Linked DNA regions of Drosophila melanogaster. The protein of the gene in region 2 interacts with the protein of the main gene of each other region in a pairwise test. Each region holds a gene or a part of one and is shown on either strand. Other genes may lie near its edges. The genes, in order: ND-ACP and Sdhaf3.

What was found.
Region 1: the proteins of Sdhaf3 (region 2) and ND-ACP interact in a two-hybrid assay, tested with the Drosophila melanogaster proteins (2 studies listed by BioGRID).

Annotation. Positions count from the first base shown.
Region 1 is NT_037436.4:1,328,065-1,332,349, reverse strand, and holds ND-ACP (NADH dehydrogenase (ubiquinone) acyl carrier protein), read right to left. Parts: upstream 2,402-4,285; 5' UTR 2,303-2,401; intron 2,220-2,302; 5' UTR 2,210-2,219; coding exon 2,060-2,209; intron 1,488-2,059; coding exon 1,401-1,487; coding exon of another isoform or gene 1,386-1,400; intron 1,309-1,385; coding exon 1,180-1,308; intron 1,071-1,179; coding exon 891-1,070; 3' UTR 807-890; downstream 1-806. Other genes in the region: msd1 (mitotic spindle density 1), read right to left, coding at 97-476, 532-568; Myo61F (myosin 61F), read right to left, coding at 2,935-2,949, 3,030-3,126, 3,189-4,285. UniProt on the Drosophila melanogaster protein: Carrier of the growing fatty acid chain in fatty acid biosynthesis.
Region 2 is NT_033777.3:16,481,200-16,484,550, reverse strand, and holds Sdhaf3 (succinate dehydrogenase assembly factor 3), read left to right. Parts: upstream 1-2,098; 5' UTR 2,099-2,189; coding exon 2,190-2,271; intron 2,272-2,337; coding exon 2,338-2,447; intron 2,448-2,503; coding exon 2,504-2,674; 3' UTR 2,675-2,690; downstream 2,691-3,351. Other genes in the region: Der-2 (Derlin-2), read left to right, coding at 597-683, 768-1,288, 1,345-1,522; Dhfr (dihydrofolate reductase), read right to left, coding at 2,692-3,160, 3,211-3,290. UniProt on the Drosophila melanogaster protein: Plays an essential role in the assembly of succinate dehydrogenase (SDH), an enzyme complex (also referred to as respiratory complex II) that is a component of both the tricarboxylic acid (TCA) cycle and the mitochondrial electron transport chain, and which couples the oxidation of succinate to fumarate with the reduction of ubiquinone (coenzyme Q) to ubiquinol.

The DNA.
Region 1 (4,285 bases), on a different chromosome or scaffold from region 2:
ACCTCGCTTAAAGAGCTTTAAATACAAATCAAATGTTTAATTTATTTAAATTATTTTTCAACTATAACATAATAATAAATTCTAAAAATGGATGAGCTAGGGGGAATCCTCGCTGGCATACTGCTCTTCCTGTGAGTTCTTCATCTGGCCCACGGTGTCGTAGAGCGCCACCAGCTTACGCACGGAGCTGCCAAGGTGCTCCACGCGATGCCTGTAGGCCAGGCAGCCCTCCAGAGCGCTGTATGTCTCCTCCCGCTGGTCACTGCTAGACATGAGCAGCTTGAAGTTCTCCAGGATCTTGGACAGGGTCATCTCAGCCTCCGGCCTGAGGTTGTACATCTTCTGGGTCTCCGACAAAGCCACATTCTGACTGAATGCCTTGCTGTTGGACTCGATGTGGAGCAATGTGTTGTTCGACCGCTCCATTATCTCGTCTATCTTAGCCAGCTGGCGGTTCATGGTCTGCCGATTGGCCGCTGAAATTGGAAGCACGGAATAGAACGCGTGTCGGTGGTTTAAAGATATATTTACCCATTCCCGCCAACATTTTGTCCACAGCGTCTGACATTTCGAATATTCTGTTTGTAATGCTAGCAGATTAACGTGACCGTCGCTGCGTATCTAAAATACACAAGGCTTTCTAAAACAATCGAAAGACCAACGTTTCTATCGAAATTTAAATTTAACCGCCAGTACTAAATGACTCGTTTATTTATTTGGATAGTTAATTTATTAGCTGCTATTCCGCAGTTAATTATAGCCCTCGTGTACAATTGCTGACTACAAGTTAATTTAACGTTTGGTTTATTCAGTTGATCAAATTGTATTTGACTTGTTTTCTATTTAAATTTAAGTGTAATCCGTTCAATGGCTTGCATTACAATTACAATTTACTCGTACACATCCTCCTTGTCGGCGACGTACTTAATAATGTCGGCAGGTTTAAGCAGCTTCTCGGCATCAGAGTCGGGGATCTCGAAACCGAACTCGTCCTCCATGGCCATGATGACCTCCACGTGGTCCAAGGAATCCAGTCCCAAGTCGTTGATGAAGTGCGACTCAACGTTGAGCTGTAAATGCGAGCCATTAGCATTGGGTATTCAAAGGTTTCATCAGCTTTGTTCAGTTCTGATTTCTGAGGCGACCATTGCACTGGCAAAGGCAATATGTGGCGTTTACCTTGCTGGGATCGATCTTGTCGTAGAGCTTGAGCACAAGCAAGACGCGCTCATTGATCAGCTTCAGCGAGAGCGGCGGTTTCGCCGAGTATCTGCGCACCAATTGCGTTTGCCAGCGACCACGGCACTCCTGGTTTTTGGCCGGCCCGAGAAAAAAAGGAAGGAAACAAAGACCGGATTAGTGGCGCCATGCAATGGGTACTTTACCTTTTCGGCGGTCACTTTGTCGTAGGCGGAGACAACCTTTAGCACGCGGAACTTGATGTCCTCGATGGTGCTCTTGGCCGAGTAGCTGCGCACACCGAACTTCTGCGAATGTTAATGTCTAGTGAATTTTCGTCTCTATATGAATAATTGCATTGGTAGTTCATCTACGACTTATGGTGCATACAACTTAGCTAATTCTTCAATGAGCAGTGTAAATATATACGCAATTTAAACGAGGGTGGTTCGATGGTGTATGATCAACTGATTAAATACCGCGAAAACTATTGCTTGGATTGGCGTGGAAACATATTTAGATATTTAACAAACTGAAATCACATGTTTTAAAACCGCTACATTTTAAGGTCACTTCTAGAGGATTTTCACTGTAGTACAATCAACCGCACACAAGTGCGAGCACCGGTGTTGCAGGTGTATGTGTGTGTGTGTGCGATAGGGAAACAATCATGTTTTATGCAAAATAATGTGATGCAATCGAATTGGGTGGTTCGACGGCCACATGGCGAGGATCTTCTGTTGCGTTCATGATTGCAAGCACTTAATTGAATGTTTTGAAACTCGTAGATCACGAAACCCCGCCGTTTGCGATGAGGTTAGGTCCTCAACTGCGATTGGGGCTCCTGCAACGGAAGGGACCGCTTTGGACGTTCGCTTACTTGGCTCAACTGGCTGGTCATCGATGGCACGGCGATCCTGTGCATCATCCTGGAGGCCTGTGATTGGATGAGAATGCCGGAGGCGACCCTCCTTGGGGCCAAAGTGGCCGCCAGTCGACTGCAGCTGCGCGCGATCTGTGTGAACGACATCTCGGTTCTCCTGCAACGGAAACGCAGCGGGTTAGTATCGCATCTCTGCAGACGGTGCACGAGTGCAGGTCTCGTATTTTGGGCGATATTTACGCTGAGTTTTCAAGATTATGTAAAAGTGCTGGAGCAAGAAAAAGACAGCAAGGTAGCAGTGTGACCGTATGCGCAATGTACTAAGCTGTTTCTCAACTTACGCAAATAAATACTAAAAATACTTAATACTTGAATAATGAGTAAGTAACTTTCCCAACTATAATTTACAGTTAAATAATTGTTAGTGGTATATTAATTCACATGAATTTCAGTAGTAACGTTAGCTGAAATCTTCTTTTGTGAGTTGGGCACGACTTTAACGAGATTTTTAAAGTCTGGAGCACCGAACTGACGTTTCAAAGCAAAGTTATCGACTGCTGCTTTTGCCAATCGAGTGGGCGGTTCTTTTTGAAAGAAACGATATAAGAGACTAGAAAAATTGCCACGTTTCCTCTTTGAAAAACCACAAGTTAGTGATAAGAACCCAATTCATATACAAATTGTAATATATTTATATGTATTTTTAAACAATATACATTTAGTTGGAACATTAGTCATATAAAATCCGAATACACAACTCTCAGGTGCTGCAGTAACAAAAATACATAGTTACACTATAAATTACACGAATATAACAAAACAAGGTCGTTTGATTTAAAGCCACTTTTCTGAAGAAAGTCATAGTAAATTCCTTATTGCGTTCCAATCTGAAAAGAAATATTTGGTGTGTGAGGTCAGCACGATAATGGGCGTTTCCTCATGAGGAGCTGGAGCTCGCACTACTTACGATAACTAGATGGCCCTTATCACGAACCACTCCGGGCTCGGCGCCGGTTTGGATGTCGATGACGCCGCCCTTGCCCTTGACTACGTTGTGCTCCAACCTGGAAACGAATGCAACACTTAGTCAAGAGAAAACCACTGGGATAACCGATGTGCAACTTACGAATTTCTGTCCACAATGGAGACGATGGAGGCAGTTCCCACGGTGTCAATGATATACGTGCTGAACTCGATTATGCGCGGAATGATCAGAATCAAGTCGCCCTTGTCCTTTTTCAGGTCGAGCGGTATGCGGATGACCATCAGGTCGTCGTTGTGGTTCGTCAGCGTGAAGTCGATCTTGTCTAGCGGCAGGCGGTGCTTCTGCTTGTAGGTCTTGCCGTCGAGGACATATATAGCCTTGTTGCTCAGCAGGATAAAGCGGTCGCGGGACTTGTAGCCGTGCCGATCGAACTTGGTGCAGAAGGACTGGTACTTAAGCTGCTCGCTGCCGAAGGTGCTGGCCACGAAGTCGTTGACTCGCTGGATGTGCTCCTTGGGGATGCGGTCCTCCTGGAACCAAGTGGACACACTGCTCGCGTAGTTGTTCTTCTTGCCCTTAAAGACCTTCTCCGCCAGGACCTTCAGCTCGAATTGCCTCTTCTGCTGCGGCGTCAGTTTAAGGCGGTAGATCCTGGCCAAGTGGAGACGGTGCAGGCGGTGAAGGATGCCGGAGGCCTCCTCGCAGTGCCCAGGGGCATGGGGCCAGCTCTTATCCAGTACCTTGGTGGGCAGCTCCTTCGCCAGTCGAAGCAGCCACATACGCTTGGCGTTGGCAATAAACTCTTCATTGAAGCCATTCGGGGCATCGTTCCGGGTGATGAAGCCCTTGATAAAGGCACGAATCTTATCGGCGGCCTCCCTGCGCTTCTTGGCCGCCTGCTGTGCCAACTTTCGGCGACAATAGCTCTGCATTATGATCACCTGAGCACGCAGTTTCAGATACTTCCTCCTTTGCATCAATCCCTTCCAGTGGGCCTGGATGATGGCCGCTATCTCATGTTTCTTCTCCTGGTAGGCATCCTCCGTATCGAACAAGGTTCTCGGCCAGCGGATGAATAGTTTCGTCTCGCCCACCCTGTACTTTTCCTCGTCCCAGCCCAAATCTTTCACCAGCTGCTGGACACCCGCTTTCGGGCCACCGGGACCCTTGTAATTGGGCCAGGTGGACTTGCTCAGGGACTTGTAGCGCTCCAGGAAGAGCTCATACGTTCGTCGGTA
Region 2 (3,351 bases):
AAATCCGGGAAAATCAATTGAGCAGTAGAAAAACTCAAAAGAAAATTTGATTAATTTCCAGTTTAAGTATAAACCCATTGAAGATATGGAAATACAATATATAATAGTATAGAAATTCATTCTGATCATATAGTAGCTTATGGATTTCAAAGTGAAAATCATATTGAACTTATCTGTTATTATAAATATTATTTCCATTCAAATATTGGATGAACTACTCTTCGATAGACGACACAATCTTAAGTTCTTCCTTCTGTTAACCACATAAATAAAATTAATTTAAAGTTTCGTGTCACGATTACGGCTTATCGATATCTGGCGCCAGTGTCACTAGTATTTGTACCATCACTAACCTTGGTCATAAAAATAAAAGCTAGCGTTCCATTTATTTTCCATCGCCCGAGCGCTGTTCCCTATCCATTAACACGTCTCAATCCTGGAGTGCACAACATCCGGTGAGAGGACTACCAAAAAGAGATAGTCCGCCGCTGGTTGTAGGTGAATAAACAGTGAAGAAGCGAAGAGTCCAAAGGATACAATCGCAACCCACTTGCCAAGCTGCACACTTTGAGTCCAACGTTGGAGGAGGAGCCGCCATGAATGCCCTGCGGCAGTTCTACCTGGAGATCCCGGTGGTCACACGAGCCTACACCACGGTCTGCGTGCTGACCACCTTGGCGGTGGTAAGTGTATCCCGTAGTGCGTTCTAAATCGCGGATGACGTGTACGTGTATTATCTTCGATTATATTTTTTGCCAACTTTTAAGCACCTGGACCTGGTGTCGCCGCTGCAGCTCTACTTCAATCCCACGCTGATTGTGCGCAAGTTCCAGATCTGGCGCTTGGCCACCACATTCCTGTACTTTGGCACAATAGGCATCAGTTTCTTTTTCAATATGGTGTTTACATATCGATATTGTCGAATGTTGGAGGACGGATCTTTCCGCGGACGCAGCTCCGACTTTGTCATGATGTTCATCTTTGGCGGCGTGCTAATGACCTTCTTCGGAATCTTCGTCAACCTGTTGTTCCTGGGCCAGGCCTTCACATTAATGCTGGTCTATGTGTGGTCACGACGCAATCCACTGGTGCCAATGAATTTCTTCGGGGTGCTTAACTTCCAGGCGCCGTACCTTCCGTGGGTGCTCCTCTGCTGCTCCATGATTCTGGGAAACACCGTGTGGGTGGATGTCATCGGCATGGGTGTTGGCCACATCTACTACGTGCTGGAGGACGTCTATCCTACACTGTCCAACGGCTACAGACTGATCAAAACCCCCTACTTTTTGTGAGTTTACTTTGAATTGGGATATAACTTTTGCAATAACGACTTGTTGTCCTTAGGAAACGTCTCTTCAATGAGCACATCGAACGCAACTTCCAGGCGGCTGCTGAGGATCGACCTGGCGGATTTCCTTGGGGCGGAGAGGGTCAGCCCCTGCTACCGGAAGAGATTGCGGCTGATGGACAGGATGAGGAGCCAGCGAATCGAGCGGCGCCTGTTGCTGCCGCGCCGCAATAGCAAAACTAGAAAACTTGATTGTTAAAACGTTCTTCTGTTCAAAACGACGACGATGACAACAATGTTGTGTACCCTCCGCCACCTTCTGTTTGGTGCTTGGTGTAATTAGGCGTATAGTAGTGAGAGAAAGGCGTGCAATAGTTAGCCAAAGTTGGTGCAGAGCGTGTGTGTATGTCATTTATTGGTTTGTTTTCTGAAACAGAGCTCATTTTCCATACGAGATGTTCTTTTATTTATAATTTACCCCCAAGGGATGAATCCACGACAGATTGAACCTACACTGCACATGTGATGATTATATATATACAAACCATGCCACAAATAAATCATTATATAAAAAGACCTGCAGTTTTAAAATGCTTGAAATCGCTTGGGGATTGATAAAAAAAAACCATTTGAAAAAAACATTTTCTTTTTACATTATTTGGTTTGCGGAAGTGTGGTTCAATTCGAAGTGCCTAACTTAAATATAATATGAAAATAGCATTGAACTTTTAAAGGTGACAATTCAAATGCGCGCCAAACTTTTAATACGTTGCCACCTGCCAACTCAATTTGACGTTAGCCAACACTGGCTGCGACAAAACAGTTGTTATTCGCTCGTATTTAGTTTTTAGCCGGCTGCTAAATAGTATAGTATTAGTATGTTATATGATATGAACTCAGGATGTCCAGAATTTTGATGAGCCAACTGACCCACCCTCAGAGGGTCCGACTGCTGTACAAAACGATCTTGCGACTGCACAGAGGTAAGATGAAAAATTCCCTATTACTATAAATTGCATGCATTTCAACTAAACTTCTGTACTCCGTAGGACTTCCAGCGGAACTTCGTGCTCTGGGCGATAACTATGTGCGGGACGAGTTCCGGCGACACCTCAAGTGCAATCCCATGGAGGCACAGCTCTTTATGACAGAGTGGGCCGTAAGTTTTACGTAATAAACAAAAAGGCGCCATACTAAGCAAATCTTCCATTGCAGCGATATGCGTCCACAATCACCCAACAACTAGGGATTCGGGGCAAGCCCAAGGGAGAGCTGGGCGAAGAGATTGACCCCAAGACTGTAGAAATGTTGAAAGACGACCAAGTAGTCCAACTATACGAGCTGATGCTGGCGGCCAAGGGAGTAGAAGATGCGCAAGGCAAATAAATCAGTGTATTATTTTATTATGAGTGTTTCTCCAAAATCTTGTACTCGAATTTAATGCCATTCTCCTCCTGCACACCCAGTGGCATGTCGGAATCGGGCGCGACCTCTCGAAAGCTGTCAGGGATCGCGGGGAAAAAGGTGTCGCAATCGAACTTCTGCATTATTTTGGTAATGTACAGCCGGTGACACCTTGGCGAGGCCATGGCCTCCTCGTAGACTCCACTACCGCCCACAATCCAAATGTTCTCCACTTCGTTCTGCTCCTCAAGGATCTTCATGGCCGTCTCGAGATTGGGGCACAATAGTACTCCCTTGGGCAGATCACTTTCCTGAAGTGTGGTGCTCAGCACTATGTTCAGCCGATCGGGAAGAGGCCTCTTGCTTTCCGGCACTCCGAAGTAGGTTTTCCTGCCCATTACCACGGCATTTTGCTTGGTGGGATCACTTGTTCGCTTGGTGGTGCGGCTGAAGTACTTCAGCTCAGATCTGATGGTACAAAAGCTTTAGCTGCGGTTCAATCCTTGTTACCAACTTACTTAATGCGCCATGGTAGATCGCCTCTGATGCCGATTCCGAAATTCTCGCAAACTGCCACGATTAAATTGAATCGAAGCATCCTTAATCCTTACTGAGAAAGCATAAGCTTGAAAATTATCTTCCAAGCTATAAAATTCAAA